Linked DNA regions of Xenopus tropicalis. The protein of the gene in region 2 interacts with the protein of the main gene of each other region in a pairwise test. Links are inferred from orthologs where the notes say so. Each region holds a gene or a part of one and is shown on either strand. Other genes may lie near its edges.

Region 1 (4,780 bases), on a different chromosome or scaffold from region 2:
TACAAAACAGAGCTTCTGTCTATAAAATCCAATTGCATTCCGGGTATTGTAGTTTTATATTAATCCTAACTGTAGGCTAATTATTAAATACAAACTACATTACCCAGCATGCAGTGGGACAGGCACACTAGGCGGAAAAAACTTTGGCTAGTTTCCAAACTACAAACCCTCCAAGGCTCCAAAAAAATAGCCCAAAACTGTACCTTGGCAGGTTTGTACTTTGGAAACCCGCCAGGGCATTAAATTAGTAGCCCAATTTGGTGGGAAAACCGCCAACCTGGCAACCCTGGTACCGCCCAGTTGGGTATAAGCAGAAAAAGTCAAGCGCCAAAAACATATGGAGGCAGAGTAACAAGTTTAGTTGGTAATTTTCACAAGTGCGGTTGTCATTATCAACCACTTTCGAACAGCCTATGTCCCAACGCAAAGGTTGCATTTTCTGGAGTAAAAATGCCCAGTGTGGGAAGAGTCCCTGCTGTGAATGCTCACACATATGGTTTGGTTTCAGGTTCTGTCTGCACCTTTTCTGCCAGGGTTTTTTTCTGCTGACAGGGAGCAGGTTAAAGAACATACGGGTTGAGCCTGAAAGAACAAAATGGGAATACAAAACAGAGCCTCTGTCTATAGTGTCACAAAACAAAAACTGTAGTACCGTGTTAGCCAGTGTCAAAAATAATAATAAAAAAACACGTATTTTGCCTGATGAAGGGGCCTTAGAGCTCCGAAAGCTTGCAATGTATTTTTATTGTTAGCCAATATAGGTATCATTTCTACAATACTCTTGTATTTGTGTTTTGTTGTTTTTTTATTATTATTTATGTCTATAGTGTCCAATTGCATGCTGGGTATTGTAGTTTTATATGAATCCTAGCTGTAGGCTAATTGTTAGATATAAACTACATTACCCAGCATGCAGTGGAACAGGCACACTAGGCGGAAAAAACTTTGGCTAGTTTCCAAACTACAAACCCTCCAAGGCTCCAAAAAAATAGCCCAAAACTGTACCTTGGCAGGTTTGTACTTTGGAAACCCGCCAGGGCATTAAATTAGTAGCCCAATTTGGTGGGAAAACCGCCAACCTGGCAACCCTGGTCCTGCCCAGTTGGGTATAAGCAGAAAAAGTGTGGTTGTCATTATCAACCAGTTTTGAACAGCAAGGTTGCATTTTCTGGAGAAAAAATGCCCAGTGTGGGAAGAGTCCCTGCTGTGAATGCTCACACATATGGTTTGGTTTCAGGTTCTGTCTGCTGACAAAGGAAATGCTATAGAGCAGGGAGCAGGGAGCAGGTTGTAAAACATACAGGTGGAGCCTGAAAGAGCAAAAGGGAATACAAAACAGAGCCTCTATATACTGTCTAAATGCATGCTGGGTATTGTAGTTTATATTAATCTTAACTGTAGGCTAATTATTAAATACAAACTACATTACCCAGCATGCAGTGGAACAGGCACACTAGGCAGAAAAAACCTTGGCTAGTTTCCAAACTACAAACCCTCCAAGGCTCCAAAAAAAAGCCCAAAACTGTACCTTGGCGGGTTTATACTTTGAAAACCCGCCAGGGCATTAAATTAGTAGCCCAATTTGGCGGAAAAATCGCCAACCTGGCAACGCTGGTGCGCTATACTCAGCTTTTGCGCACTACATTTCCCAGCATGCAATAGTACCTACTCCCTAGTGTTCGGATGTAGCGGAAGTACGGAAGCGGAAGTTGAGATAGCGGCGCTGGTTCCTGTGAGGGGAACAAAGAGGCTAGGAGGGCAGAGCGGGGTGTGAGGTTAGTGCGGCTGGGGAGCGGGTCGGTGGTACTGTGGGAGGTTCTGCCGGAGGAAACAGAGTGAGGTGCTTGGTATGTGGGGAAGGATGGCGGCATTTTGGGAGTCAGAGGGGTTTGGGAAGCCGAGGCCCAGCAGGCCTGAGGGGGGCAAAGGCTATGCAGTATTCGGTGGGAAACTCATCTGTGGGGTGCTATTCCTGCTTTATTTTTTCTCTCACTTATACAATGTTATTATTATTAGCAACAACACTTTTAAAATTGGCTACATTGATTTTATACATGGCAACAATAGTTACAGACTGCATTGGGCTCTCACTAAACGTTTAAACTATTGCAGTTTGTGCATTTAGTATGGGCCTCATTTTATAGGGATTAGGCTGCAATCTCACAACCTTCTACTTATCCCTCAAACCATTTGATCAAAAGGGGCTGGTCACATATAAATTCACTTTTTGTATGACCATTTGCAATTGGTCATTGTTTTTTCAATTTATTTGTATTGTTGTGAAGCAAATGCCCAGTTGAGAATTTCAGCAGCTTTCTGGTTGCTAGGCTTCAATTTAACCTAGCAACCAGGTTTAAAGAGACAGGAGTATGAATAGAGGCGGGTCTGAATAGTAAGAGAAGTAATATAACGTAACAATAAAATTGGAGCTTCAGCTGCTTTATCCATATACATTGTGTGTTTTGCATGTATTTTTAACTTCATTCTGTTTTACATTGCAGGTTCTATGGGAGAGGACTGAATAAAATCTGCGAAAATGTCAAGTAAGTTTCCCTTTTGCCGAAATGGTTTGGGGAAAAAAAAAATACAGACACTAGGATTTTAGTATCTGAATAAATAGTGAATTATTGATCATAAAAACACATGGAAGAATAGTAAATGTCATGTAGGCTGAGCGGCACGGTTCATATGTAGGTAGGTACCGCGTACAGAACATGGGCTAAACAGAGCTTTACCTTCTGGCTTGCTGGTTACACCTGGGCTGCCATAAAGGTTGCCATACACGGGCAGAATTAAACTTCTGATTCAAGTCCTTCAGACCAATTCTGCAGCCAGGGTTGGACTGGGGGGTGCAGGGCCCACAGGGGCTGGCGTCACAGGGGCCCTGCAGTTGCCCCACTGGCCTCGTACCACTAACCCCCCCCTCCCCTTGGGGCCCCATACACAGGCAAATAAGCTGCAGACAGGGTCGGCCAGGTGAGCGCCGGCAGGGGTTGGGTCTGGGTTTTTTCCCGGCATCCCGATCCGACCCTGTCTGCAGCCCGTGTATGGCGTCCCTAGGCTGCAGTGGCGTAACTTGATTGCACCAGGTTCCCTTGCAAAGAAATCTTTTGAGAACTCCTGGTGTGAACAGTCACTCCTCCCTCCAGGCCTTCATGGCACCGAATGTCCTGGGGAGGATAGGCTTGGGGAAAGGGAACCCTGCGGTCCCGGCCCCCCAACTGCCACAGGGTCTGCTGTATAGGTTGTTACACCACTGCTAGACAGGCCTCCCTGACCGATATCCGACTGAAAATTGAAACCAGATGTCCATTGGGCAGCTTTGATTTTCCCTCCGGATCAGGGACAGCTCCTATGCCCGTTGTTGTAATTTGGTTGTTTAGACCTAGGGTCAGACAATTGAATTAACCTGATATGCCCACCTTAGGGACAAAGATCTGCTCTTTGGGCAACATCACTATATGAGGGGATCTTAACCTCTATGGCCACCATAAGTATGCTGAAGATTTAATGTCAGCTGAAAAGTTTGGTGGAGAATAAATTGGTCTGTCTCTGCTAAGGCCTCTGATTTCCATAATCCCCTTTGTGCTTCCTGCTTTGCGGTCGGGCTGGGCTGCCAGGACACCGGGAAAAAAACCCAGTGGGCCCTGGCAGCCCAGACCCAACCCTTGCCGGTGCTCCCCCAGCCGACCATTCATCCCCTGACGCGTTAAACTTATGCATGCTCAGGGGAGGACATTGCGTGGGGGGCCCTGCTGGGGTGTAAGGGTGGCCCTGCAGGGGGGTTAGGGAAGCTCAGCGGGGGCCTGTCCAGGATGGGGGATGTGGCCAGTAGGGGCACCTCCTGGGCCCCTTGGTTGGTAGCCCCAGTGGGCCCTGCACCCCCCAGTCTGACCCTCCCTCTTCCTGTGGCTAAATAGACGTAAATCTCAACAACAGTATTTCTAGTTAAAAGCCTTACCAGTGGAATAGAAGCCTTTATAGCAGCAAAGGGAGAATCAAATTCATATTAATTCTTCAGACTGTTACCAAGGCCAACGCGTAGGCCAAATATAGATACCTGGATTTTAGTATCTGAATAAATAGTGCATTATTGATCATAAAAACCCATGTAAGAATAGGAAAATACATATGAGGCCATTTCATTAATAACTGTGCTAAAGATCTGCATTAAAAAAAAATGTAATCATGTGTAATTGTGTTTTCTACAGAGCGACCATCATATGCTCCACCTCCAGCCCCGGCCCCCACTACAGTGAGTAGAAGGAAATTGTCAAATATTGTATGATAAAGGAATAAGTACTGTAATGAATCAATGGTGCTATTGCATAAGATTGTTTGGGTGCCAGATGACAACATTAGACTCGAGTCTGTTCGCAAACGGACCCAAATGGCCTTGTGAAATGGCTTCCTGTATGATAGTTACAGTTTGCAAATGCAGCTACAGCTGTGCCATACTTTACACACAAGACAAACTGAGCTCAAATCCTAAACCCAATAGACGGATGTGCACTAATTTTAAAACACAATTCTGTGGCTTAAAATTAGAAAATATATTTTAATGGGCAATACAATTATTTCGGATAATAGAATAAAATCCCCTTACCTGCTTCTCATAAAATACACATTAAGCGTCAGTGTGATGTGTGCTGTCATTGTGTGCGTTTGTGAAGTGTGATTTTTTTTTTTTGCTTTTTTCCCTCAGTCCCTCTTGTGAAATATGTAAGATAATCGGCAATATTTTTTTAAGCCCATTTTACTCTGCACGATTCATTAAGTA
Region 2 (4,056 bases):
TTCATATGGAATAACAAATCACCAAGAATGGCCTGGGGAAAGCCGACAGCCCCATTCAGCACTGGAGGCTTAGCCCTCCCAAACATGTACTTGTACTATCTTGTCTTGCAACTGTATTACCTACTTTGATGCTTCCTCCCAGATCCATACAATCCAAATTGGCTTTTACAATTACTTAGTTTGGAATCCATAGCTGGGCTTCAAAACTTCATATATAGTCACATAAACTACATTGTCCCTCTGCCCCCCACACTGCTCACCCCATACAAAGCATGGCAAATGGCTACTAAGCTCCTGGGCAACACTCCGCCACTGCTCTCCCCTAAACTCCCCCTATGGGGCAACTCACACTTAGATCAGTTTAGAAAACTCCAAAACTTCATATTTTGGCCTCGAATAGGATTGAAATGCCTTGGGGATCTTACCCTAGACACAGGTTTCCCCTCCTACCAAGACATCTCCCAAAAATACACCCAACACCATATTTCATTCTACCAATACCTAACAACTCAGACATGCATTCAAGGCCCAATTCTCATCTCTCCAACCAGCAATCCGTATCACTCCACTAGAAGAGACCATACACTCACCAGACAAAATTTGCCTTCTGGGTGTCTTGGGCGATATCATTCCAACCAACTATGCTTGCAACAGATAACGGTCATTGGATGGGAGCTACCTTACCTAGTGCCCCCCTCATGGCAACAGCTAGTCAACAAGTCGATACCACTTATAAAACTTACCTCAGAGGTTAAGGGTACCCAGAACTAATTTGAACGTATCTGGCCACCCTGGTTGGACTTAACTAACTATACTTACTCCAATGACTCTAATGTACATTTTAAAGACCTGGAAACTAAACTTATACTAATGTTGAGGGTCCCTTGATTAATGTATACAAACCATAGTATTACATGCTCAGGGGACAGGACTAATCAGTGAATGTACTATGTAGGCATTACTCACCTGTAACTTCTCCATGGCACTTTGCAATGCATCATACACCTCTCTGGGAATGCTGTCCATACCGAGATCTATGGATGGAAAACAGCACACTGGTATTTGCATAATGGTTCCAGTTTAATACAAACCAGTGGTACCTATAATTTTTACAACTAAAGGAGCATAATTAGAAATGGCCCAATCTTATCTTACAGCAGTGATCCCCTCCACATAGGGGCTACCAATTACCCAATAACAGCCTTTATTTGGCACCCCAGGTACAAGTTTCATGCTTGTGTTGCTTCCCAACTCTTTTTACACTGAATTATGATTTAGGAATAAAAAGGTTGGGGACCCCTGCTCTGCAGGTTGCAATAGGGATACTGGCAAGCAGTTAAACATGGGTGAGATTCACAGGTCAAGGCTGGAAGGCAGTCTGCTCTTTGATCACTTCCTTGTTTCAGGCCTGGGTCAGGTTATGGAGTGTAATGATTAATGGTAGGCCTAAGTGGGTACAAATATTTATTGTGGCTCCCCTATTAGAACAATGCAGTTCTCTGCTTCTTTGTAAAGTGGCTAAAAAAAAAGTTCTATTTTGGGGTTGATGGATTAGGTAATGATAACTGAAAGCAATTGCTACAAGTTGGAGGCATGGGCATTAGATGCAGTATTACCTGCTGCATGATGCATGGTCCCAGATGACTGCTGCCGCCTTATTTCCGATATCTGACGCAAGAGACCTTGACAGTACCGCTTTTGTTCCGCCAGCTGTCTTTCCGTTTCTTCCCGTTCCCCTTGCACCTTTGCTATGGCTGTGCTTATAAATGCTACCTGCAGGAAAATACCAGGTTGGTGAAAGAGGATCATTAAAGGGGGTGGTTAACCATTACGTATGTTATAGAATAGCCAGTTCTTAGCAACATTTCACTTGGTCTTTATTCATTGTCGTTTATAAATTATTTGCCTTTATCTTCTGCTTTTTGAGGCTACAATTTTACTGTTATTGTTATTTATTACTTAGCTTTCAGTTTAGACCCACTATTTATATTCCAGTATCTCATTTGAACCACTACCTGGTTGCTAGGGTGAATTGGACCCAAGCAACCATATAGCTGCTAAAATTCCAAACTGGAGAGTTGTTTAATATTCAAAAACACAAATACAGGTATAGGATCTGTTATCCGGAAACCTGATATCCAGAAAGCTCCGAATTACGGAAAGCCTGTCTCCCATAGACTTCAATTTCAATCACATAATTCAGATTTTTAAAATTGATTTCCTTTTTCTCTGTAAAAATAAAACAGTGCTTTGTATTTGTTCCCAACTACGATATAATTAATCCTTCCTGGATGCATAATAATCCTACTGGGTTATTATTAGTGCTTTATAGATTTTTTAGTAGACTTAAGGTATGAAGATCCAAATTACAGAAAGACCAATTATCCAGAATACCCTCGGTATCGAGCATTCTGGATAACAGGTGTTATACCTGTAATACAAAATGAAGACCAGTTGCATTTACAGTTCCAGAATAGCACTCACTACAACATCCTAAAAGTTAATATAAAGGTAAACAACTCCTGTAATAGGAAGACTACAAATACAGGATGGATCAGTAGAGCTTAAAAACTTTTGACACTCACCATCTCTTCTCTGTTTTCAAAGTCCTCAGGGATGTCCAGTGAAGTCTTTAGAATCTCATCTTCATACACTTCACTCTCCACTCCATCTCCTGGTAGTTAAATATATAGGGGTGAGATTTACGTCACAGTGCAGGAGAACCAATATCAGTGCTATAACAGAGCACAGCTCATGCCTCACCTTCCATCCTATTGAGCACTCGGCTGTCTGGCTCACTCCGGATCTGTAGCACTTGCGCTCTCAGCTCTTGGTTTTCTTTAGTGAGAAGCTCCAGGTTTTCCTGAAATACAAAAAAAAAAATATTTACTATTGCAGGTATGGGACCTGTTATCCAGAATTCTTGGGACCTGGGGTTTTCCGGATAAGGAATCTTTCTTTAATTTGGATCTCCATATAACTTAAGTCTTTTAATATTGAATAAACCCAATAGTCTTGTTTTGCCTCCAGTAAGGATTAATTATATCTTAGTTGGGATCAAGTACAAGGTACTGTTTTATTATTACAGAGAAAAAGGAAATCATTTTTTTTTAATTAGAATTATTTGCTTATAATGTAGTCAATGGGAGATGGCCTTTCTGTAATTTTCTTTCTGGATAAGGGATCCCATACCTGTATACCAATTTAGTTCAGTATTTTTTATACTTATTTATGTACTGTGTGTACTATTTTCTAATTTCCTTATCTCTTCCACAAGCCACTCGAGGAGGAGCTGTAGAGTAAGTAGATCTGATAAGGCTGAGTTTTTAGCATGGGTTCCATTTAGTAAAACTAAAGGAGCATCATCAACATCAATCTGTATCTGGGTGATTTTGCCAATGTCTATAAAGGAGAACTAAAGTTAAAAGAAGCAGGTAAAAAACAATAAACATATGTTCTAGGGTTCCGCAGAGGTCCAAGGCAACTACAACACTTTAACAGTGAAGATCTTTTATAAAGAGTAACTCCAGCCATGAATGACTGGGCCGCGACAATTCACATTACATGTTCCTTCAGTTGCCTGTTCTGGGTTAGTGCTTGAGTTTTGTAGACCAACACCTGCCCACCCAAGGGGTGCTTCTAACCACTGCTCAGGAAGAAATAGCCCAGCAGATCACAAGTAGGGGAAGGTCAGAATAAGACAGTAACTCTCAGCAGAAAACACAATAGGCATACATGTATTATGTAGCTTTATGATAAATAAATGCCACATGTAGCGCTTTTTTTTCATGCAGGCTAAGTAATGTTTGTGGCTATTTTGAGAACTTCCCACTGACTTCAATGGCAGACATGCAAAAGTGCGGGAGCCACAAGCTGACACTTACTCTGCTCTGTTGCAACTCCTTGAGGTGCATCTCTGCGCTGACCTTCCCCTGCACCTCCTCGTGCTGCAATCTGTCCATCAGCTGAGCCTGCAGCAGATACTGCCTCTGGATCTCCTCTTTCTCAATGGAGACTTGCTGATATGCTGCACTGTACTGCTGGAGGTGAGCGGAG
Region 3 (4,546 bases), on a different chromosome or scaffold from region 2:
GGGATAGCAAATAAGGGCTGTGACTGGTTATTTGGTAGCCCCTATGTAGACTGACAGCCTCCAAGTCAGGAATTAAAAAATAAGCACCTGCTTTGAGGACACTGGGAGCAACATCCAAGGGGTTTGGGAGCAACATGTTGCTCAGGAGCCACTGGTTGGGGAACACTGCAGTAGAGGATCCAGAAAGTATGTAGGGGTGTTCTCTGAAGCCATGTATTGTATGGCATGAAACAATTGTACAAGAAACTGTAATTATATCTACAGGACTGGATTTCTCTTTAGGCACTCAGAGGCTAGCATCCTCAGCTTCCCCCCACCCCTCCCACAGGGTCGCGTCCTACATCTGGCGCACAGGGGACAGGGTGCATGGAAACCTCCCGTGCATAATCCCCAGTGCCCTGCATGTAAGTAAACTTCATGTGTGGCTTGGGCGGCATGCCGGCCCTGAATGTGTGCTGCCCTAGGCCTAATCTTCATGGCCTTGCCACAAATACCGGCCTGTATATCTACAAACATGAAGTTCTACCTTTAATTGTCCTTAAAAACTTGCAGTAAGATGATCAAATAGGTTAAATAATTGATTGATCTTAATTTGTTCTGTTGTGGTGGGAATATAAAACAACAGTACATCACCCCATACCAGCTGCCATTCTCTTGCTATGCACATTTCTATAAATATAATTTTTAGTCATTTTGCACATCCCTACCCTAATTGCTATATCTTTTGCACATCCCATACTCCTAGGCATAAAAAGTATATACATGGAAATAAGGTGCAATTGTTAAATAAGAATTTCATTTTAAAAAGAATGATTTTCTTTTTTTAATGTGCCCTTGTTGATCAAATAATACTTCTATTTTGCTTTTACCCCCAGATTTTACCCATTGCACCCAATAATACTGGAGGCCCAAAACAAATACACCGTTTGGTTTTCACAAACTGGCAGAGTTGTTTACACTACCTAGTTACCAATACCTACAGACGGGCATACCAACATGCAAGAGATGGATTGCTTTTGCGCATGCGTATGGCCTGCATTCTGAGCAGGCATTTCCTGGGACACCTCTCGCGTTTGCGTCCTTGTTGTAGATGGTTCCGGCTCGCTTGGCTCTTTGGTCCTGTGTGAGATCTGAGCAGGCATTACATAGGGCAGCTTGGCCCTCCTGGGTCCTTGCTGTTGTCGGAACAGGCTTTCGCTTAAGCAACACCACCAGTAGGTTGTACGCATCCTCGGGAGTAGTGAGGAGGCGGAGGAGGAGAAGAAGAAGATGGCGGACGTGCTGAGCGTTCTGCGTCAGTACAACATCCAAAAGAAGGAGATCAATGTGAAAGGAGATGAGGTTATCTTCGGGGAGTTCTCCTGGCCCAAGAATGTTAAGACCAACTATGTCATTTGGGGGTGAGTATGGCGCAGAAGCGGGGAGCAATCGCTGTCATTCTGTCCTTCCCCTGTTTGGGTGCTCACTAGGCATGTGCAACACACACACACACATACACACACACACACACACACACACACACACACACACACACACACACACTGCACTGGCCCCGGGCCAAGCACAGACAGATTTATCCAGGTAACTCCAACCTGTAACTCGTGGTGCCTGTGCAACTACAGCTCCCAGCATCCCCAAATTCTGTCGAAGTTTTGAGGGACTGTGGCAGCTGCCGTTTATGAGCAAAAGTAGAATCCCACCCATAGGAGTTCGGCATAGGTTTCTGTAGCGCCCAACTCGGCAGCGATCACTGTACTACAACTCCCAGAATCCCAGGACAACCTTATTCTGCCCAAGTGCTGCTGAGAGCTGCACAAAGTCCCTGAAATCACTACTGACTATATGTGTATGGCACACTCTCCCCACTTGGGCAAATAGACTCCTGGCATTGCCTCTTATTTATATCGTTACATTACTATTCACACATGCTGTACATCCATACCTTCCTCCTCTTACTATCTGTGTCTGTATGTATCCATTGTGACTAAATGTGCCTCCCCACAACTTACTGAACTACAAATCCCAGCAAGTGTAAAGCTTTAATAGATGCTTAGGATTGTGGGAGCTTTAGTCAGGCAGCATCTCTGGCCTGCACACATAGTATTTATGCTTTCATGTTTGCATAGAAAGGTAACATCAGAAGGATACAGTTACACAATAGTATTATTTTTATGTATGTAAAAGTAATGAGATTTTGAAAAGCTGTACAGGTGCTTTTTTCATGCAAGTTAGTCCTCCCCAGCCCAGATTAAAGGGGAAGTTCACATTATCAAAAACATAGTCCTTTTGTGTAGTTAGGATAATTTTTAGGTATTTGGGAATTGGAAAAGGCGAATTTACTCATGGATGCCAATATGTGAGGCACCCATCAGGGAATTAAAGCCCTACTTTTTTTTTACCTTGGAGAAAGAGCACAACACAATGCAGCCACCTACCCTGACCCAGGTGTCCCAAGCACAGATTTAAACAAGAACTCAAAAATTAATATATATAGAAATGCTTTATTTTATTTTTTTTTTAAACATCTTTTTATTGGTGACTATAAAGGCAATACATGCTACAGGCAGTACGATTCCTTATAGCACTTTTCAAATAGATATAATTTAAAATGTCATACTTTATATATTGAACTTATTGAACACCCCTAAAGGGTTAGCGTTTCTGTAGTAGTAGTTATTATTGAGGACTTCAAAATTGTGCACAGGAGCTCCCAATTTTAGATTGTTAGAAGTGTCAGTAACACTGCACATACTCTGTGTTCTCAGAGCAGCTGTTCTGTTGATAAGCTAAGCTTAGTGGTTGTTACAAATTTTTGAGCAGAAAATGTGTTTTGCCTGTCATAGAAGCTGATGCTGCAGGGTTGATTATTACATACTGATGCACATTGCACTGGTATCAGAGCTGCCCTGTACTAATAATCTGTATTATTGTGACATTTATACTGTGTACATGCACTGTTTTGTAAGTTAGTTCAGCACAGAGCATGTGCAGTGCGTCAGCAGAAGGAAGATGGGGAGCTACTGTAGGTATATTTCGGGGGACAGATCCTCCAAGCTGAATGGCTGTTGTTGCCTTGTGTTGGTACAGAAGCACAAAACATAATGTGCTGCATTTCTGCTCTACTTCTCAAACTTTAGTTCTCCTTTAAGCCCATGCAAGTGCAGTGGAGCACAATTAAAAACTTTTACTCTGTTGTACAGGTATGGGACCCGTTATCCAGAATGCTCAGGACCTGGGGTTTTTCCGTAATTTGCATCCTCATATTTTACTTAAAAATCATTTATAAATTAAATTAAGCCAATTGGATTGTTTTGCCTCCATTAAGGATAAATTATCTTAGTTGGGATCAAGTACAAGAAACAGAGCAAAAGGAAATATAAAATTTTTAAAATGTAAGTTCTTTCCTTAAAATGGAGTTGATGGGAGATGGCCTTTCCGTATAACTGGTTTCCAGATAATGGGTCCATACCTGAACATTTCAAAGGCTATGTCTGAAGAGGGACAGCTGGGAAATGCTGGTAACCTGGCTGTGTTGCTGCATTACTTTTTCCCCCTGGCTGGTTTTATTTTATTTTTTCCTAAAAAGAGCATGGATGGAAAGTATGGGTCAGGGACCCCCCCTTCCCACATGGATTGGATAGAGGCGTACTTGAATAAACACAAAGCAGTCAAAAACATTTTTGAAACATGGGAATCTTTTATTAGTATAATTCCACATGCACTGAAAGTTAAAATACTGCTTTAAAACTACCAATTGGTATATAACAGACTCTGAGAGGTAACCCACCTATACAATTAGAAACAGAAAGAGAGGTTAAGGCTGATGCCACACGTGGCGGTTTTACGCTGCGTATTTTCTAATTCTCTCGGCGGTTGAAAAACGCACAATATCATCATCCATAGAAATAACTTAAACAGTCTCGATGCTAGAAATACGCTAGAAAACGTGTCACCACGGAATTTTCATGCGTTTGCCGAAATACGCCGTTATTTGCACAGCAACCTATTCCTTTGTGTACACAAAAGCAGCTGCCAGACCTTGAGGAAATATGCAGCGTTTTTACTATTTCGCACTATTAGCACCATGGGAAACGGGATTTGCTACGTCACCAGTACTAGGCTGAAAAACGCCATAGTCAGGGGCTGTGTGGGTTGTGCAGCGTTTTTAGGCGGAGAAAATACGCAGTGTAAAAAAGCCACGTCTGGCATTCGCCTAACCCTAGATAACCTCCAATACGAACTTAACCCTCTGAAGGAGTAAATTATTAGTTTATAAAAAAAAATATATATGGTACTTTCTATTACAAGATACAATTATAACTTAGCAGTGCATCCAATGATCCACGATTTACATGAAAGAAACAGCTGCTTTTTAATATGTCGATTCTCCCTAGCCATATAGATACCATAAAGCTAGACAACTAGACTAATGCACAGGGATAATATGCTAATGGTCTTGAAACTTGTATTGAATAATCTATGTGAAACATTCTATGCACTGTACAATAATTGATGAAGTAAAAATGATTCTTAATAAAAAAAAAAG
Region 4 (4,056 bases), on a different chromosome or scaffold from region 2:
TAAAACATCACCGGTGATGTTGTTTATAGCAGCTAATCAGATGCTTTGCTTTGATTTTCTGTATGTTGAAATCTAATTGCTGATTGGTTGCCCTGGGCCACATCACCGGTAATGCTTCACTCCACTTTTTACACAGCATGATAAATATACCCTAATTGTTCATCATATAAGATTCAAGGTTTTTGCAGATAGCAGAGTTCTGGACTCCAGTATTGTGGGATGTGTTGTCAGCCTGTGAGCCATTATGTTGTCCCATATACAGGTCCTTTTAAAAAAATTAGCATATTGTGATAAAGTTCATTATTTTCTGTAATGTACTGATAAACATTAGACTTTCATATATTTTAGATTCATTACACACAACTGAAGTAGTTCAAGCCTTTTCTTGTTTTAATATTGATGATTGTGGAATACAGCTCATGAAAACCCAAAATTCCTATCTCAAAAAATTAGCATATCATGAAAAGGTTCTCTAAATGAGCTATTAACCTAATCATCTGAATCAACAAATTAACTCTAAAAACCTGCAAAAGATTCCTGAGGCTTTTAAAAACTCCCAGCCTGGTTCATTACTCAAAACCGCAATCATGGGTAAGACTGCCGACCTGACTGCTGTCCAGAAGGCCATCATTGACACCCTCAAGCAAGAGGGTAAGACACAGAAAGAAATTTCTGAACGAATAGGCTGTTCCCAGAGTGCTGTATCAAGGCACCTCAGTGGGAAGTCTGTGGGAAGGAAAAAGTGTGGCAGAAAATGCTGCACAACGAGAAGAGGTGACTGGGCCCTGAGGAAGATTGTGGAGAAGGACCGATTCCTGACCTTGGGGGACCTGCGGAAGCAGTGGACTGAGTCTGGAGTAGAAACATCCAGAGCCACCGTGTACAGGCGTGTGCAGGAAATGGGCTACAGGTGCTGCATTCCCCAGGTCAAGCCACTTTTGAACCAGAAACAGCGGCAGAAGCGCCTGACCTGGGCTACAGAGAAGCAGCACTGGACTGTTGCTCAGTGGTCCAAAGTATGTCATTCGGAAATCAAGGTGCCAGAGTCTGGAGGAAGACTGGGGAGAGGGAAATGCCAAAATGCCTGAAGTCCAGTGTCAAGTACCCACAGTCAGTGATGGTCTGGGGTGCCATGTCAGCTGCTGGTGTTGGTCCACTGTGTTTTATCAAGGGCAGGGTCAATGCAGCTAGCTATCAGGAGATTTTGGAGCACTTCATGCTTCCATCTGCTGAAAAGCTTTATGGAGATGAAGATTTCATTTTTCAGCACGACCTGGCACCTGCTCACAGTGCCAAAACCACTGGTAAATGGTTTACTGACCATGGTATTACTGTGCTCAATTGGCCTGCCAACTCTCCTGACCTGAACCCCATAGAGAATCTGTGGGATATTGTGAAGAGAAAGTTGAGAGACACAAGACCCAACAGTCTGTATGAGCTTAAGGCCGCTATTGAAGCATCCTGGGCCTCCATAACACCTGAGCAGTGCCACAGGCTGATTGCCTCCATGCCACGCCACATTGAAGCAGTCATTTCTGCAAAAGGATTCCCGACCAAGTATTGAGTGCATAACTGAACATAATTATTTGAAGGTTGACTTTTTTTGTATTAAAAACACTTTTTTTTTATTGGGCGGATGAAATATGCTAATTTTTTGAGATAGGAATTTTGGGTTTTCATGAGCTGTATTCCACAATCATCAATATTAAAACAAGAAAAGGCTTGAACTACTTCAGTTGTGTGTAATGAATCTAAAATATATGAAAGTCTAATGTTTATCAGTACATTACAGAAAATAATGAACTTTATCACAATATGCTAATTTTTTGAAAAGGACCTGTACATAATGGTCATTTGGAATGTAACAAAAAAAAAGAAACAATTTCATCGAGTTTAACCTGTTTGTCTTAAAGGGGTGGTTCCCCTTTAAGTTAACTTTTAGTATGTTATAGAATGGCCAATTCTAAGCAACTTTTCAATTGGCCTTCATTTTTTTTTTTTTTTAATTGAGTTTAATTATTTGCCTTCTTCTTTCAATTCTTTGCAGCTTTCAAATGGGGGTCACTGACCCTGGAAGCCAAAACCTAATGCTCTGAGGCTCCAGTTTTATTGTTATTGTTACTTTTTATTACTGATTTTTTATGCAGGTCCCTCCCCTATTCATTTACCAGTCTCTCATTTAAACCACCCCTGGACCCTAGCAACCAGATAGCTGCTGAAACGCCAAATTGGAGAGCTGCTGAATGACTTCAGCAGTATATAGGGTAACAAATGGTCATTCTTCACAAATCTCGCCTCTGCTTGCCTTTAGACTGGACCACCTAAACCACTGTTTAATGTATTCTCATTTTATAATTTTTAGGCACTTTACTTTTTTTCTCCTCTTGTTTTGCAGGTGTTGGAAAATCATGTCTCTTATTGCAGTTTACAGATAAAAGGTTTCAACCTGTGCATGACCTTACAATTGGTAAGTTTACGCTGAAAAGTGTCAACTTTTGATTAACAGCTCTTTTGTTAGACACCCTTCAGTAATTCTTATTGCTTACCTGGTACTTTGAGCTGATACTCCTCTTCTTAAAAAAATACAATAGCATAAGGGCCTGATTGCTGAGCTATGTGCCACCATTTTTTTCCATACTTAAAAGCTTTTGCACTGCACATGCACCCTCTTAAAATTGGTGCAGGGGACACCTGTAAAAATGAAGACAGTACCACGGACTGGTGCATATATTAGAGGAAAGTAGTGCAATGCTAGGGTATCAAGTAATTGGCTAGAATTACAGGGGGTTCTTAACAACTCAGCCCCCCCCCCCCCCCCCAATGACTTTACTGTTCTTTCAAGCATTCGGATAGTAGTGGTTAAACTTGAACACAATGAATTTTTATTTGCACTTTATATAATTAATAAACATTTCACTAGCTACAACTTAAATTTGATTAGGCAATTTTCACTTCTGTATATATTGTAGAGATGCACCTAATCCAGGTTTTGGTTCGTGATTCGGCCTTTTTCATCAAGATTCGGATTCTGACAAATCCACGCTCCGGCAGATCCAAATCCTAAATATCATGTGACTTTTTGTCATGTAAACACAGAAGTTGAAAATTTTTCACCACACGTGGCATTTAACCCTTTCAAAGCCTAATTAGCATGCTAATTCGGATTTGGTTCGGTATTTGGCCAAATCCTTTACGGTGGATTTGGGGGTTCGGCCGAACCCAAAAAAGTGGATTCTGTGCATCCCTAATATAATGTAGAAAGCAGTAATATTATGAGAGCTTACTATTGTGAATTAATGCTTCTATTTTGTTTTTAAAATGTAACACACTGTATGAACTTTACAATCAGGATCTCTTAATTTTGCATATCATAATTATTTTGTAGGTGTAGAATTTGGTGCAAGAATGATTACAATCGATGGCAAGCAGATAAAGCTTCAAATATGGGACACTGTAAGTAATAAAGACAAAACAATATATTGTCTGTTTCCTCTGCCTCTTTTGTTGTACCACATATTCTGTCAACGATCTTGTAAGTTGATATAGGGCTGATTCTCGGGTAAGAATAAGCCATTCTACTGTCCTTCGATCATTTGTGTGTTTGTGCATTGGCCTGGGTGCAGACAAACCTGCTCTCTATGTCTGGTCCCAGGATGACACAGTACTTGTGACTGCAGAGACACAAATGAGCAGAGGCCAGCGGAGTGAAATTACCCTTAAAAGGGAATGCAACCCCTGCTTATCTCTATTGACTTAAATTGGAAATGTCTGGCTGCCCCAGTATTGACACTTTTCAGTCCTAAAACACCCTCTAGAACAGTGATCCTCTACCAGTGGCTCGTGAGCAACTCCTTCAATGTTGCCCCAGTGGCCTCAAAGCAGGTGCTTAGTTTTGTCTTGGAGGCAAGTTTTGGTTGCATTACTGCCTGTGTACTGCCAAACAGAGCTTTCTGTAGACTACCAGTCCACATAGGAGCTACCAAACAGCCAAACATAGCTCTTATTTGACATTCATAGAATATTGTTTCATACTTGTGTTGCTCCCCAACACTTTTT
Region 5 (4,056 bases), on a different chromosome or scaffold from region 2:
AATATTAAGTATATGTGGTTTTTCCGCAGATGGATTCACATGTACGTTATCCTGATCAATGTGTGTTTGTTGCTCCACCCTCACCTGAGCTTCCTCCCAGACCCACTACTTTACCATCTCCCCGGCTCAGCCCTGCAGGCTCGGGTAGGTCCCAACCTGAAGGATCAAGTAGCTTCCAAACTCCCCTCACAGCGGTACAGTTCTCCACCCGTCCTCTTTCACCTGTTGGCTCTTCTGCCCCTGACCGATCCCAACCAGAAGGATCTCAGAGGCTCCATCCTTTAGGATCCCCAATAAATGTAAGAGTGGAATCTGGCAGATCACAGCCTGAGGGATCCTGTCCTAGTCTCTTGTCCCCTACCCGGCAGTACCCACCTTTGCCTCCACCTCCATCCTCTCCTCATCGCTCTCCTGTCCTAAGTCCTAGAGGATCACCTGATGTCCCCAGGACTCCGCACAGAGCACACACTTCTAGACCCCAAGACCAGCATCCAACCCCTGAATGCATTCGACCTTCCCCAGCAAAAGCCGACAAATCCCAAGGTGATAGTACAGTGGATGTAGCAGGGAAGGACTTCAGGTAACATTTCCAAAGATTTTCTTGGCCACGAACAAAAATTAAAAAAAAAAATATAAAACTTCCTAATCTGGTAATATTAAGCAGTTATGGTAGGTGAATTTGGGTAGATTTACAGTACACATTCATTATTATATTTGTTTTTTTTACTCTGACTACAAGGATATATGTTATCACATGGAATGTTGGATGTGCTGTGCCACCCTCGGACCTTACTTCCCTCCTCTGCCTCAATGCTAGAGATGATAAAATCGATATGTTTGTTATCGGGTAAGAATTAAAGTTCGTTGTCTATGCATTTCCTGTGAACACGTGCATGAGATTTGTTTTATATTAATAGCTGAAAGTGCAATAGGAAATGAGTCACGGTCACTCCTGCTGTGTCTCTGCAGGCTGCAAGAGGTCAATTCTATGATCAATAAACGCCTGAAAGATGCTCTGTTTTCCGATCAGTGGAGCGAGGTCTTTATGGATGTCCTCAGTCCTTTCAGCTATGTTTTGGTGAGGCCCAAATAATAATCCTTTACTGCATGCTTCCTACTTTGGTTTTGTTTCATAAAAGGGGTTAAAGGTATTCATTATTTTCACTTTTTAGAGCTCGCCGATTCATAAGATATTTAAAAAAAACAAAACAAAATGTGTGATATGTTCTGACCCTCTAATTTCCCTTGTCCCTAGGTCAGCTCAGTAAGAATGCAAGGTTGTCTGCTGCTGGTGTTTTCAAAGTATTTCCACTTGCCTTTCCTCCGGGACATACAGACTGACTGCACAAGGACTGGCCTCGGAGGATACTGGGTCAGTGTGCGGGTGTTTCTAGGCTGCACAGTAATTCTTCGGAATAGATTATTAACACTCCAGTTACACCAAAAAATGATTTTTTTTTTTAACAAAAATCCCTTATTAATCATATTTTCCATTGGGTGGTTGCATAGACAGTTATGAATGTTATCTGACCCTCCCAGAGTCACCAGTAAAAATAGTATGCTTCTAAACAGTTAAGTAGAATGAGTTCTGGAGCACTGCATGATAGCCTCTGCAGTTCCAAATGCTATTGCAGTGCTTCTATAGAAAAATGTCATAAATCAATGTAAGCATAGGTATTCCTGATAATAAGCAAAAATGATCATGATAGTTTTATGGTTTTAACAGCCTTAAAGGGAGACATTTAATGTTCCTCTCTGTTTAACCCTTTACTAGACTATACTTTTCTTTATAGCATTTAATTCTGTATAGGTAATGGCGCTATTGAAGAGGCTCAGTACTGTTAAAGGGTAGCTTTTCCCAAGCCACATTTATACTTTCTTACTTTTGGCTTGATTTCTGTATTTATACTTATTCAGTATGCAGGGATGTATACATTCTTTGTTGTACCAGCATATGGCAGACATACATTTATTTAACAAAACAATTTTGGTAAAATCTAACATAAACATTTACAACCTTACGTGGTGCCTTATTGTCTAAGATAGAGTTAAAAGTCTTGTCCTAATATATTAATCCTACTCATAAATGAGTTGTTGTATGTTTAAAGATGGAGTATAAACAACAAAGAGACGCACAGTATACAGGTGCTAGGACCCAGTTTGCATTTGCCTGTAGTAGTTATGTCCCAAGATAAAGCTCTTCACTGCTCAGTGTCTGTACTGCACCAAGATATAGAGAATCTGGAGTGACAAATACTTGTCTTTCCTAGATGCTTGGCTGAATTAGATTCATATATACGCTATATGCATGCTCCTGAGGGCCTTGCACCTGGAGGCTACTGGGCTAAGTGCAACCATGCAAGAAATTTTTATGGATCCCAATATGCACAGTAAATAAGATATAAACATCCTACCTAAGTCAAGGTCCTCATTTTTGAATTACAGTTGGAGCTGTGTTCTGCTACACAATGCATTTCTAAGATTCTTTTAAAAATGGGGGATAGTCCTTGTACAATCCCATAACTACTGCCAAATTGACTCTTATACTAAAGGCTTCCATATTCTGCTGATTGGACTTATAGGAAATGAAGCCATAAAATGGATCAAATTAATTTGTAAATGGAGACAAGCCAAGCTGAGATTTAATTCACATATGATATATGGGCTCCTTTAATGTTTAATAGAAAGTGTTATAAAATCAGAGAAACAGATTAAGCTAAAGGAAAAAAGCAAGCAAAGATTATGTTTTTACCGTACTATTGTGTAAATAAATCTAATAAATCTTAATTCCTCTTGGTTGGTGATTCTGGTGGGGTGAAATTAAAAAAATAACATGATTCATTTAGCAGAATTCCAGCATAGTTGCTAGGGATGCATCAAATTCACATTTCAAAAAAATACTCTGCCAAATCCCAAACCGAATATAAACCTTAATTTGTATATTGAAATTTGAGAAAAATAACAACATAAATTATTAACAAAAAAGTTTCAGTTTTCCAGAGCTTTAAAGTTTGCTTTGGCTAAACAGTTAAGCTTTGGCCAAATTCAAATCCTACAATAAGTGCTTGATTTTGCTAAACCCTGGATTGCTGCAGGCAGGACCAACATTTACTACTGATAACTGAGATCCAAAGATTTGAGGCAGTTTGAAAATTGCAGGTTCATAGCTAAAAGTTGCACCTGTGGGGGGTGGGGGGCATGTGTGCAGGCCAAGTGGTTTGGCAGTGAGTGCCTATAGGCTCAACATGCAAAGGAAGCCCTGTACTTACTACCTGTACAAGGCAGGTGTTAGTAACAGGGCTTTTTGTGCCATCAGCACATTGGCCCATTAATAAAGTAGGAGCAAGTGCATTGTGTATGGCATTTTTATGGGTGCAGATCTAGTACCTAACAATTGTAAATGAGCCCTAATGTTTCCTTATTTATAGGGTAATAAGGGTGGAGTCAGCATTCGATTATCTCTTTTTGGTCACATGGTATGTTTTCTTAATTGCCATTTACCGGCTCATATGGAGAACACTGATCAGCGAGTGGATAATTTTGAAAGCATCTTGCAGCTTCAGCAGTTCCAGGGACCGCTGGCAAATGGTGTTCTGGACCATGAGTAAGTAATTCTGCCTCAGTGTCTTTGCCATTATTCTGTTTATATTGTTGCCCACTTTAAAGGACATGTAAAGCCTACATTTGCCTACAATGTATATTTGTTGGGCATGTCTCCTCCAACCAAATGGCATCATTTGTACTGCATATATCCCCCTCCATTTGCTAGCACCATCACATTTTACTAAAGCAAATAGCAGCTTTCAGCTGGTGGCCATTTTTCCTCTGATACAGAATCAGATACATATAAATCTGCAAACAGCATACACACACACAAAGACCCTTATTCAGCATACATTTCATCAGGAATGCAGGCTCACACAGGCAGAACTATCTGATAAAAGTTCTGTTTTGTTTGAGCTGAGCTCAGGAGAGGAGGTTAGGAGAAAAAAATTGATGAGCAGACAGCTAGAGCTGAGTTTCTATGGGAACCAGTGATGCTATCTATTCACTGGC
Region 6 (4,595 bases), on a different chromosome or scaffold from region 2:
AGTCAGTGCACTTTGCGTGTCTGACAATTAGGGATACAAATATAATTATGTGGTAGAACTGCTGAGCAGCCATATGTACTAGTAACCATTGAAAATGAATGTGTTTGCTTGCAAAGAATCCTTCTGGATTCCCCAGATTGAACTGTAACAAATCAGCCCTCTTATCTGAAGAAAAAATATATAGCGGAGCACCACGAGGATAAAAATAAAAATCAGTCTTTATTCCATCAACAGTAAAAGGTACATCCATTGGGATGTACATGTGCCTTTTACTGTTGATGGAATAAAGACTGATTTTTATTTTTATCCTCATGGTGCTCCGCTATATATTTTTTCTTTATATTCTATTTCCAGGACCCATCTGGGAGCGGGTCTACATGTAGCACACTTGGGCTGTGTGGTAAGTGCTCCTGTGTATCATTGTTCTTTTTGTGCTCTTATCTGAAGGATCTGTATTCAAGTACTAGCTACTAACATCAGTACTGTTTGCAAGATGCTACCCAATCTGTTGTTAAAAGGAGAAGGTAAGGTATAATCACAGGGGGTGCAAAATGTTAGACACCCCAAGTGATAATAAATACCTGAGCCCCTGGGTTAGTGCTAATGTTTGGTGAAACTGCACCTGCCCAGGGGACTTCTGTAAGAGCATCTCATCATGAGCAGCCCCAGCCAGGGTACATATGTGCAGTAGAATGAAAAGCTTTTTGCTTCTAATTTTATTTGTGTGTGAAAGGGGAGATCAAGAATAGAGAAAAAGATGATAGCATGGCTGTACCACGTGCCGGTGCAGTTTTTCGGTGAGCAAGAGCACCAGCCTGTGGTATAATGTTAGCAATTACAATCACTGGGGGGGGGGGGCAGAATCACTGGCTTTGCATTAGAACAAAGTATTACAAATTGGAGCACCTTTTCCACATTAATGCAGCTGACATAGACAGGCATATAAAGGCACAAAGTGCAAAGGACTATATATATATTTGTAACAAACATACTTTTTTTTTGTTAGGGCTGTTACACACAAGGATAGTGTAAAGGGGAAGCAGACCTTGCAACTGCTGGGGACCAGGATGGTAGAGGGCCCAGCGGGGCTCTGATTGAAAAGCAGTTTCAGTATAAGTTTATGAAGATTTTATGTATTACCAAAGTTTAGTGGGAAAGGGGGTGCAAGTAACTTCTAGTTAAGCCAGTGTTACAGAGAAACAAAAGATTTTCCTAAAATGTTACCAAGTCTTCAACTCTATTGTGAATCCTTTATAGTGTAGATGAGTGGGAGGGAAGAACAGTGTGGCAGCCCATGCCATAAATTACTATCTCACAATTGCTCAGACTCTGCTTTAGTTGCTGCTGGAAATGGTGGGCTTCTTCCCAGGAGAAGTAGTACTGAGAAAAGGTCAGGGCATTCATTCTCCTTCTGAGTACAAGTACAGCAGCACAGAAACGTTCCTCTTCAAGCAGCAGCCAGCAGCCAGCCATCACACAGAGCAGGTTAGTAAAGATTTACATCAGGCTCTAAGTTTCCCAACAAGAACAGTCAAAATCTGGGGAATAGGCAAGATTGTGTATGCTTAACATCTGTGGGCTTTTTATGCTTAAGCAATTCACCCTATTTCCAGTTATGAAACTTACTTGTAAACTAATCTAAATATAGAGAATTGTATGCTAATGCAGAATCTCTAGCCTCAGCACTCCCTGTGTTTATACGGTGGGTTATGGGAGTTAAAGTTTATACTACGCAGTCTGGACATCCATCCTCCTAAACAGTAACTGATTTTAGGGTTCACAGTGTCACTGATGCAGTTTATATAATTTGTTCATATATAGATGGCAACTGTCAGTCATTGGACAGCAGCACAGTTTTACCTAGAATTTTTTAGACTGGCTAATACGGTACAAAACATTTCCCTTCTCTAGTAATACACTGCCACTTTGGGATCTCATAACAACAAAAGAACGGGTGGTATTATTTACTCAAGCCAATCTCCCCAGACTACAGTTCAGACTTGCAATTAAAGCTACAGGCAGCCGTATTAAAGTAGATGTGGAGATGAGAAGCAGAATTCAAAACCTTATGAAGAAATTCTGTGATCATTGTGATTGTTTGTATGATCAGATCAACAGTTTTATTCCAGGGCAGCAGCAATAAATAGTTAATGCAATGAAAATATGTTAATTTTTAGAACTATCTGCTTTTTTGGAAGATTGTGAGCAGACAGTTAGGGACTCTAGTAAAACAGCACCTTCTTATGGCTAATCTTTAATATGTATTATTCAAACCCCACCATCCCTTTTTTTGTAGTACCAAGAAATAATGTTTTAGCCAGATACCTCAGAACTGGGAATTATACTTGTTTTTCTCCAGGAAAAAAAAACTATCATCATTTAGTAAATCTTTTACATTTTGAAATGCTCTGAAGTTCACATTTACTGATGGGTGTAGACACAGATTTAGTCAGTCGCGTACAGCATACAATCAAAGGAAGAGGACTTTTCCTGAACAAGTAGAAACATTTTCCGGAAAGGCTGATTTTCCATTTATAAGTGCATTGAGTTGATGAGTTTGTGCAGATATTAAATCCCCATTCTTTATTATTTTTTAGAGCCACCTTTAGCTGTAATAGTGGTCTCATCATGATGTGGGGATGCTTTTTTGCTAGCAGGGACTGGACATTTTGAAAGAAAAGAAGAAACAATGGCTACTGCAAAAAACTGAACCTGTTTCATTCTGCTAATAAACTAAAGTGACAGTTCATCTTTCTGCAGGATAGTGATCCAAAGCATAAGGCTCCAAGAACTCCAACATGACCCAAGAACAAGATGGTCGACTCAAGGCCAGAACTAGCGGTAGGAAGGATAGGCACATTCTTAGGGTGTGATTGTGGGGGGTGCAGGCTGAGCATTGTTGGCGACTGGTGGAAGGGGAGTGACTGGCAGGTAGGATGTAAGGAAGCCAGTGAGTGACATCCGGGGGTGTGCATGGTGATGGTTGGGTGTGTGTTGCAAGGCAGGCTGACATTGCACCAGGCCATGTAGAAGTAGAACTATGGATAAGAGTGTTTCTGTTTTTACCAGTCACTTGGAGACACATAAGACAAGGTAGTCTGTAAAAAGGAAAAATGATATGTACATTTTTAAAACCTGTCCCTAAGGACCACTTGCAGCTCTCGAGAACTTTATCTAGAAGTATGAAAGCAATATTTATTTATTGAATATACCTTCTTTGCATGCAGAGGAAATTTTATATACTCCACCCATTTTATACATCTGTGCACAGGAGAAAAATATAAGGCACATTGATATCAGCCTAGGAGTTATTGATATAAATAACTGTGATCATTTCTTAAATAGTAATATACATGCAGCAATACTTTAATTTCTAAATTAACAAATGGGTTTACAAACTATAAGTGTAGATCAAATGGAGGGCTATGATCTGTATGGTATGTATTATGTACTAAGGGAGGAGACCACTCAAGCCTATAGGAAACATAGAGCTCCACATTTTGAGTCAGTGTTTTCAGTTGGCTCATACCATGCATATCCTGACATGCAACAGGAGGTCTAAAACATGCCACTTTTTTACATGTATTAATTGGTGCATTTACCTCCTGCAGCAGTCAGTATTTGTATGTAACACCCTTCCGTTTGTATAGGGCTGCAGAATATGTTTGTGCTTTATAATTAAATACTTTCTCTGTTTTTTTTTAACTCAGGAACATTTAAATGGATGAAAGACAAACAGTTTTGCCTCTCACTGTTCATCTTCTTGCCAGCTCGGGTGATTCGCTTGCCTTTCAACTTGCAGTTGACCGTCTTCTCCACAGGATATGTCCAGATGTCCGGTTGTTTCTTGTGTCGGAACGGGCTGCTCCCATTAAGCTGTATGAGTGCCAAACGAAAAGGCCTGAATTCCCAGGGATATCAGTGACACTCTTCCTGCGTGAGGACTTGGGAGAGGAAAGGATTGATCTCCTGCAAAGTTTTTTCCAGCTACCTCCATGGACTCATGTTATCGCAGACTTCCAGCAAGGAAGATCCTGCCCCTTTAAACTGCCGCTTTGTGATTATTATAGTCTTGATTCCCACATGCCTGTGTGGGAAATGAGACATGTCCATTATGGCACAGAAATTGTGAGACTCACTGTGTATTGTAGCTGTGATAACTATGAAGATGCAGTGAGACTCTATGAAACAATCCTGCAAAAGGAGGCAACTACCCAAAAAGCTGGATTTTGTTTCTTTGTATTGTATTCTACAACACATGTGTCTGTCCAACTTTCCATAAAGCAGCTGCACCCTGGGATATCTGTGCAAGTTAAGGATGCGTGTGCTCTGCAGTTTGCCATTCATGCAGTAGGACAATTGGTTCCTTTGCTGCCCTATCCTTGTGTGCCCATCAGCGATGCCAGATGGCAAACTCAAGATTATGATGGGAACAAAATCCTTCTTCTGGTAATTTAATATTTATTATATGCTACACACATATACATTAAATGTTGTATGAATATACTCTACTTCATTCTTGTTATGATACGTCTACTGAATTACTTAATTTACTATTTAAAACATTCCATACACATTGCACTACATGCCACTGT
Region 7 (4,056 bases), on a different chromosome or scaffold from region 2:
GCCCTTAGATACATTCAGAGGAAGGGGCGCTGCTACCATGAGGCCAGATGAGAATCATGCCTTAGATGTCAGTGCCCTGTGCATTACCAGGGGTAACACTACCATCTGAGATTTATTATAGGTTTTTATATATTCATACCATGCTTTTTTATTTTAACAGAAAGGACAGATATTCTTAGGAGCAATTCACTTTTCTGTTGCTGGTGAAACACTCTAAAAATGTTAGTGCCAGATCTAACTATTCATGCACTCAGAAAAATATTGTCATACTTTTATTTATTACACCCCTTATATTTGAACATTTATCATTTGCTTTTTGTTTACACGCATTTTATTTTAGGGCTCAATTGCTTCTGGAATTCACTATAAACATGTTAAAGGACATGAGCAACCCTGGTAATCTAATAAGGACGAAAAAGCAAGAGTATCCCATGCAGGAGGAGAGGCTAAACACCAAGAAGCTGAACCAACTGTACAATGACAGACTGAAGGCTCTAACCTTGTTTCCCACTCAGTCTGATCGTACTTTTCATCTGAAAGGTTTGAATATTAATAGTGCTCTAAATATTGCATGGGAATTACAAGAATGTTATGGACGACCAATGGAACTTTCATTTGTATTTCATTGACAGACTTTTGTCTGTATTCTGTTTCTGTATTATTATGCATAAGGAAACAGAATGAAATAATGGAAGTTCATAAGCCATTGAGAGTAAAAATTGTTGCAGTCTGTTGTCCAGAGCTTTTAATCCTGCATAAGGTGCTGGGATCTTGGCCAATCCGAAACCAAATCCCTAGTTTAAATGGTTTAAGTACCAGGTCTCATTTTCACTGTAAAGAGAAGTGAAAGGCTGCACCTCTGCCAGCTGCTTCCATCTAAGCAATGATATCAGTACCACAATGCCCTTGCCAGGGTTTCAGCCAATTTGGGAGTGTGGTTAATGTCAGCTGACAAGTACAACACACTTGGTGCCTTACTTAACCCTTTCCCTGCCAGTGAAATATCAGGTTTAAAAGCATAACCTCAAACCAGAAATATAGTCACTGTGTTGTTAGCAAGCTTTCAGTTTGCTTACTTATGATGTGGCACCTATGTTATTGGTAGACGAAAAGTCACACTTTCCCCAAAACAGGTTGCCAAATTGTAGGTCCATGCACCAATCATGAATGCTACTGGACTCCTGCCTTTACCATTCATCCTAATTTAGCCTAATTCTTTGTTGCCTTACATTTTTGTATTATATGCCTTGTTACCTTATATCCAGTTCCAGCAGTATCTACCATGCCTGCTTTGTCTGCATCCTTGCCTGCTGTCAGTGACAATGTAGTCTTATTTTGTCTTCCTAATATGTGCTACCTGCTTCTTGCCTTGTCTATCCTGCCAATATGGGCCTTGACTGCCCTGCATGTTCTCCAGGCAAGAAGACAAAAACCTTGCCTAGAATAATCACTTCCTTGGATCAATTCTCATAATTGTTTATACTTTTGATTTTACTGTTGCTTATAACAATCAGTTCTTAGCTGCACGCAATAAACACATTTTAATGTACATTATTGTTTGTGTTCTAGATACCCCCCACAGAGGAATATCTGCTGCACAAGATAAAAGTAATATCAAGAAAGAGATCAATGAAAGTATTTTCAAAGGTGAAAAAGAATTTAGCCTTTGTGGTTGGCACAAACATAAGATTAAAGTACAGCTGCATGTATATTTAAAAATATATTCCAGAATGATACTATGGGCAATGTAGGAATAGAGAAGTAGTATTTAATAAATGGGGGGAAAAGAGAAAAAAAATGTTTTTCTTAAAAAGGATTATAAAGGAGAATTGAGAAAAGCCAGAGAATTTGACAAACTTTGACCAGTTTCTGCTACTTTGAGGTTTTATACAAAGGACCTAAAGTTCTAGAAAACTTGAGTATCCAGGGGATACTGCCCCACAAATATTCTTCTCTGGCAATAGGAGACCTGTCAACCCCTCCCAGGTCTGCTATTCATCTGAACGGCAATCTCCTGCTTGAGGGGTGCACTTGCTTGTCATGTGATTTTTGGCTTTTAGCCCACAGAGCACAGTTACATCCTCCTATTTAACCATGTTGTTTAAGGAAGATACCCCTTAATTTTATTATTCATAATTCCTTAAACTTTTATGTGGCTTATGTTCTGATGGTTTTTTTTCCAACTTAAGCACCTGAAGGAGGTGCATTTGGCTTTCCTGGTGTTTCTCTCTCTCCACGATTAGCAGGCAGCAGACTGATTTTCTTTTCTCTTTGAACATTTGTTGTTGCTTTAAAACTTTTCTCCAGGAATTGTGATTACAAACCATATCTGCATTTTATATATTTATGTATAAGTAAGTGTCTGATCTAACTGCATGAAATTATTTAGTGTGATATGAATAAAAGATGAAATGAAAATACATGAAATATATTAATAACAAGTGGCAACTTGTAATTTGTTCTCTTACAGATGATACCTACATAATACCTACATTACTGGATGGTACTCACATTCCAGGTATTCATCCAGATGCTGTGTGTGAGCTAGTAAAAAGGAGGCTGAATACCACCTTGGTACTGAATATTGGTTCTAAAGAAGAGCGACAAATATTTGTATGTGTCTATTTCTTAGTTTGCAGTGTTGACATATTCTATACTGAGGCTGAATTCTTTAATTTCATGATAGTCTGTTCTTCTCTCTGCATTTTCTTATATTTAAGACTAAGAAAGTCAAGCCTTTGTTTAGTTAAAAAAATGTGTTACAGTAAATATGACTGTCACTGTTCACTGTTAGGAAGTTCCACTGGGGAGGTTAACGAATGGTACCTTTTAGGTTTTCTGCAAAAAGAAAAGCACCTGCAGAATCTATTGTTAAAGTTGAAAGGGATGCATACTTTTTCTATTTTAAGTACTATAGTGTACCAGTGTATGGCTTTGTAGTAGGACAAAATCAGAGGGAATCCTGTAAAGGAAATCCAGTTTTTTTATTAAAATATAGATATTCATGGAATACCCCAAATATGTCAATGTGGCCCTTATTTGGCCACCCTCACACTGGGCTAAATCTGTCTGATGCAATTGTTGGCCCCATTGCCTGATGGGATTTTCTAACCTACTCAATTGAGATCTGACAAATAATTTGCCTTTATCTGACTCAGATATCAGTCAAGTGGACCTTTCAGTGGATGCCCTACATGGGCAAATAAGCTGCCGACTCGGCCCCTTATATTGACTAAAATCCAGATACAAAATACTAAAAATCCACAGTGGTGTATACAGTACATTACTCAGAAACTCTTTATCAAGAAAGCTCTGAAATATTCCATCTCTCATAGAGTCTATTTTAAGCAAATTATTTTGCAATGATTTTCTTTTTCTCTATAACAATAACACAACACCTTGTACTGTATAGTAACTAAGCTGCATGAATTCATATTGGAGGCAAAACAATCCTATTGTGTTGATTAACTGTTTCATTAATTTTAAGCAGACTTAAGGTATGGTGTTCCAAATGATAAAAAAAAATCCTTACTGGGAAAAACCTAGGTCCTCAGCTTTCCATAAAATAGATGGATATAGGACCTGTTTTGCAGAAAGAAATATTAAAGCAATTTTCTAAACCAGTACAGGTATCGGACCCCTTATCTGGAAACCCGTTATCCAGAAAGCTCCGAATTACGGAAAGCCCGTCTCCCATACACTCTATTTTAATCAAATAATTCAGAATTTTAAAACTGATTTCCTTTTTCTCTGTAATAATAAAACAGTACCTTGTAATTGATCCCAATTAAGATATAATTAATCCTTATTGGATGCAAAACAATCCTGTTGGGTTCAATTAATGTTTTATTGATTTTTTAGTAGACTTAAGGTATGAAGATCCAAATTACGGAAAGACCCCTTATCCGGAATACCCTTGGTCCCGAGCATTCTGGATAATAGGTCCTATACCTGTATTTGTAAAAATATTATTGATATGTATTGAAATTATAAAATGCCAACATATTCTGTAGTGTTGTACAATGAATAGCTGTATACATTAAACTTATAAAAAAC

What was found.
Region 1: the proteins of golga2 (region 2) and smarce1 interact in binary tests that used the Homo sapiens proteins (3 or more experiments, as listed by UniProt). The two-hybrid records come from large-scale screens. The link is inferred for Xenopus tropicalis from reciprocal best matches to the Homo sapiens genes GOLGA2 and SMARCE1.
Region 3: the proteins of golga2 (region 2) and cdc73 interact in binary tests that used the Homo sapiens proteins (3 or more experiments, as listed by UniProt). The two-hybrid records come from large-scale screens. The link is inferred for Xenopus tropicalis from reciprocal best matches to the Homo sapiens genes GOLGA2 and CDC73.
Region 4: the proteins of golga2 (region 2) and rab2a interact in binary tests that used the Homo sapiens proteins (3 or more experiments, as listed by UniProt). The link is inferred for Xenopus tropicalis from reciprocal best matches to the Homo sapiens genes GOLGA2 and RAB2A.
Region 5: the proteins of golga2 (region 2) and inpp5j interact in binary tests that used the Homo sapiens proteins (3 or more experiments, as listed by UniProt). The two-hybrid records come from large-scale screens. The link is inferred for Xenopus tropicalis from reciprocal best matches to the Homo sapiens genes GOLGA2 and INPP5J.
Region 6: the proteins of golga2 (region 2) and fam124b interact in binary tests that used the Homo sapiens proteins (3 or more experiments, as listed by UniProt). The two-hybrid records come from large-scale screens. The link is inferred for Xenopus tropicalis from reciprocal best matches to the Homo sapiens genes GOLGA2 and FAM124B.
Region 7: the proteins of golga2 (region 2) and ccdc87 interact in binary tests that used the Homo sapiens proteins (3 or more experiments, as listed by UniProt). The two-hybrid records come from large-scale screens. The link is inferred for Xenopus tropicalis from reciprocal best matches to the Homo sapiens genes GOLGA2 and CCDC87.

The regions. Positions count from the first base shown.
Region 1 is NC_030686.2:8,332,639-8,337,418, forward strand, and holds the start of smarce1 (SWI/SNF-related matrix-associated actin-dependent regulator of chromatin subfamily E member 1), read left to right. Parts: upstream 1-1,756; 5' UTR 1,757-1,775; exon of another isoform or gene 1,776-1,847; intron 1,848-2,501; 5' UTR 2,502-2,536; coding exon 2,537-2,543; intron 2,544-4,211; coding exon 4,212-4,255; intron 4,256-4,780. UniProt on the Homo sapiens protein: Involved in transcriptional activation and repression of select genes by chromatin remodeling (alteration of DNA-nucleosome topology).
Region 2 is NC_030684.2:22,909,284-22,913,339, forward strand, and holds part of golga2 (golgin subfamily A member 2), read right to left. Parts: coding exon 3,885-4,056; intron 2,864-3,884; coding exon 2,764-2,863; intron 2,675-2,763; coding exon 2,586-2,674; intron 1,774-2,585; coding exon 1,617-1,773; intron 1,035-1,616; coding exon 967-1,034; intron 1-966. UniProt on the Homo sapiens protein: Peripheral membrane component of the cis-Golgi stack that acts as a membrane skeleton that maintains the structure of the Golgi apparatus, and as a vesicle thether that facilitates vesicle fusion to the Golgi membrane.
Region 3 is NC_030680.2:113,579,556-113,584,101, reverse strand, and holds the start of cdc73 (parafibromin), read left to right. Parts: upstream 1-1,259; 5' UTR 1,260-1,269; coding exon 1,270-1,400; intron 1,401-4,546.
Region 4 is NC_030682.2:116,955,785-116,959,840, forward strand, and holds part of rab2a (ras-related protein Rab-2A), read left to right. Parts: intron 1-2,395; coding exon 2,396-2,467; intron 2,468-3,385; coding exon 3,386-3,453; intron 3,454-4,056.
Region 5 is NC_030677.2:144,062,079-144,066,134, forward strand, and holds part of inpp5j (phosphatidylinositol 4,5-bisphosphate 5-phosphatase A), read left to right. Parts: intron 1-29; coding exon 30-580; intron 581-739; coding exon 740-847; intron 848-969; coding exon 970-1,078; intron 1,079-1,255; coding exon 1,256-1,372; intron 1,373-3,428; coding exon 3,429-3,604; intron 3,605-4,056. UniProt on the Homo sapiens protein: Inositol 5-phosphatase, which converts inositol 1,4,5-trisphosphate to inositol 1,4-bisphosphate.
Region 6 is NC_030681.2:123,828,965-123,833,559, forward strand, and holds the start of fam124b (protein FAM124B), read left to right. Parts: upstream 1-1,328; 5' UTR 1,329-1,485; intron 1,486-2,760; 5' UTR 2,761-2,841; intron 2,842-3,710; 5' UTR 3,711-3,720; coding exon 3,721-4,449; intron 4,450-4,595.
Region 7 is NC_030679.2:48,339,250-48,343,305, reverse strand, and holds part of ccdc87 (coiled-coil domain-containing protein 87), read left to right. Parts: intron 1-340; 5' UTR 341-371; coding exon 372-540; intron 541-1,569; coding exon 1,570-1,647; intron 1,648-2,470; coding exon 2,471-2,613; intron 2,614-4,056. UniProt on the Homo sapiens protein: Plays a role in spermatogenesis, where it is important for normal sperm head morphology. Also required for the acrosome reaction and thus normal male fertility.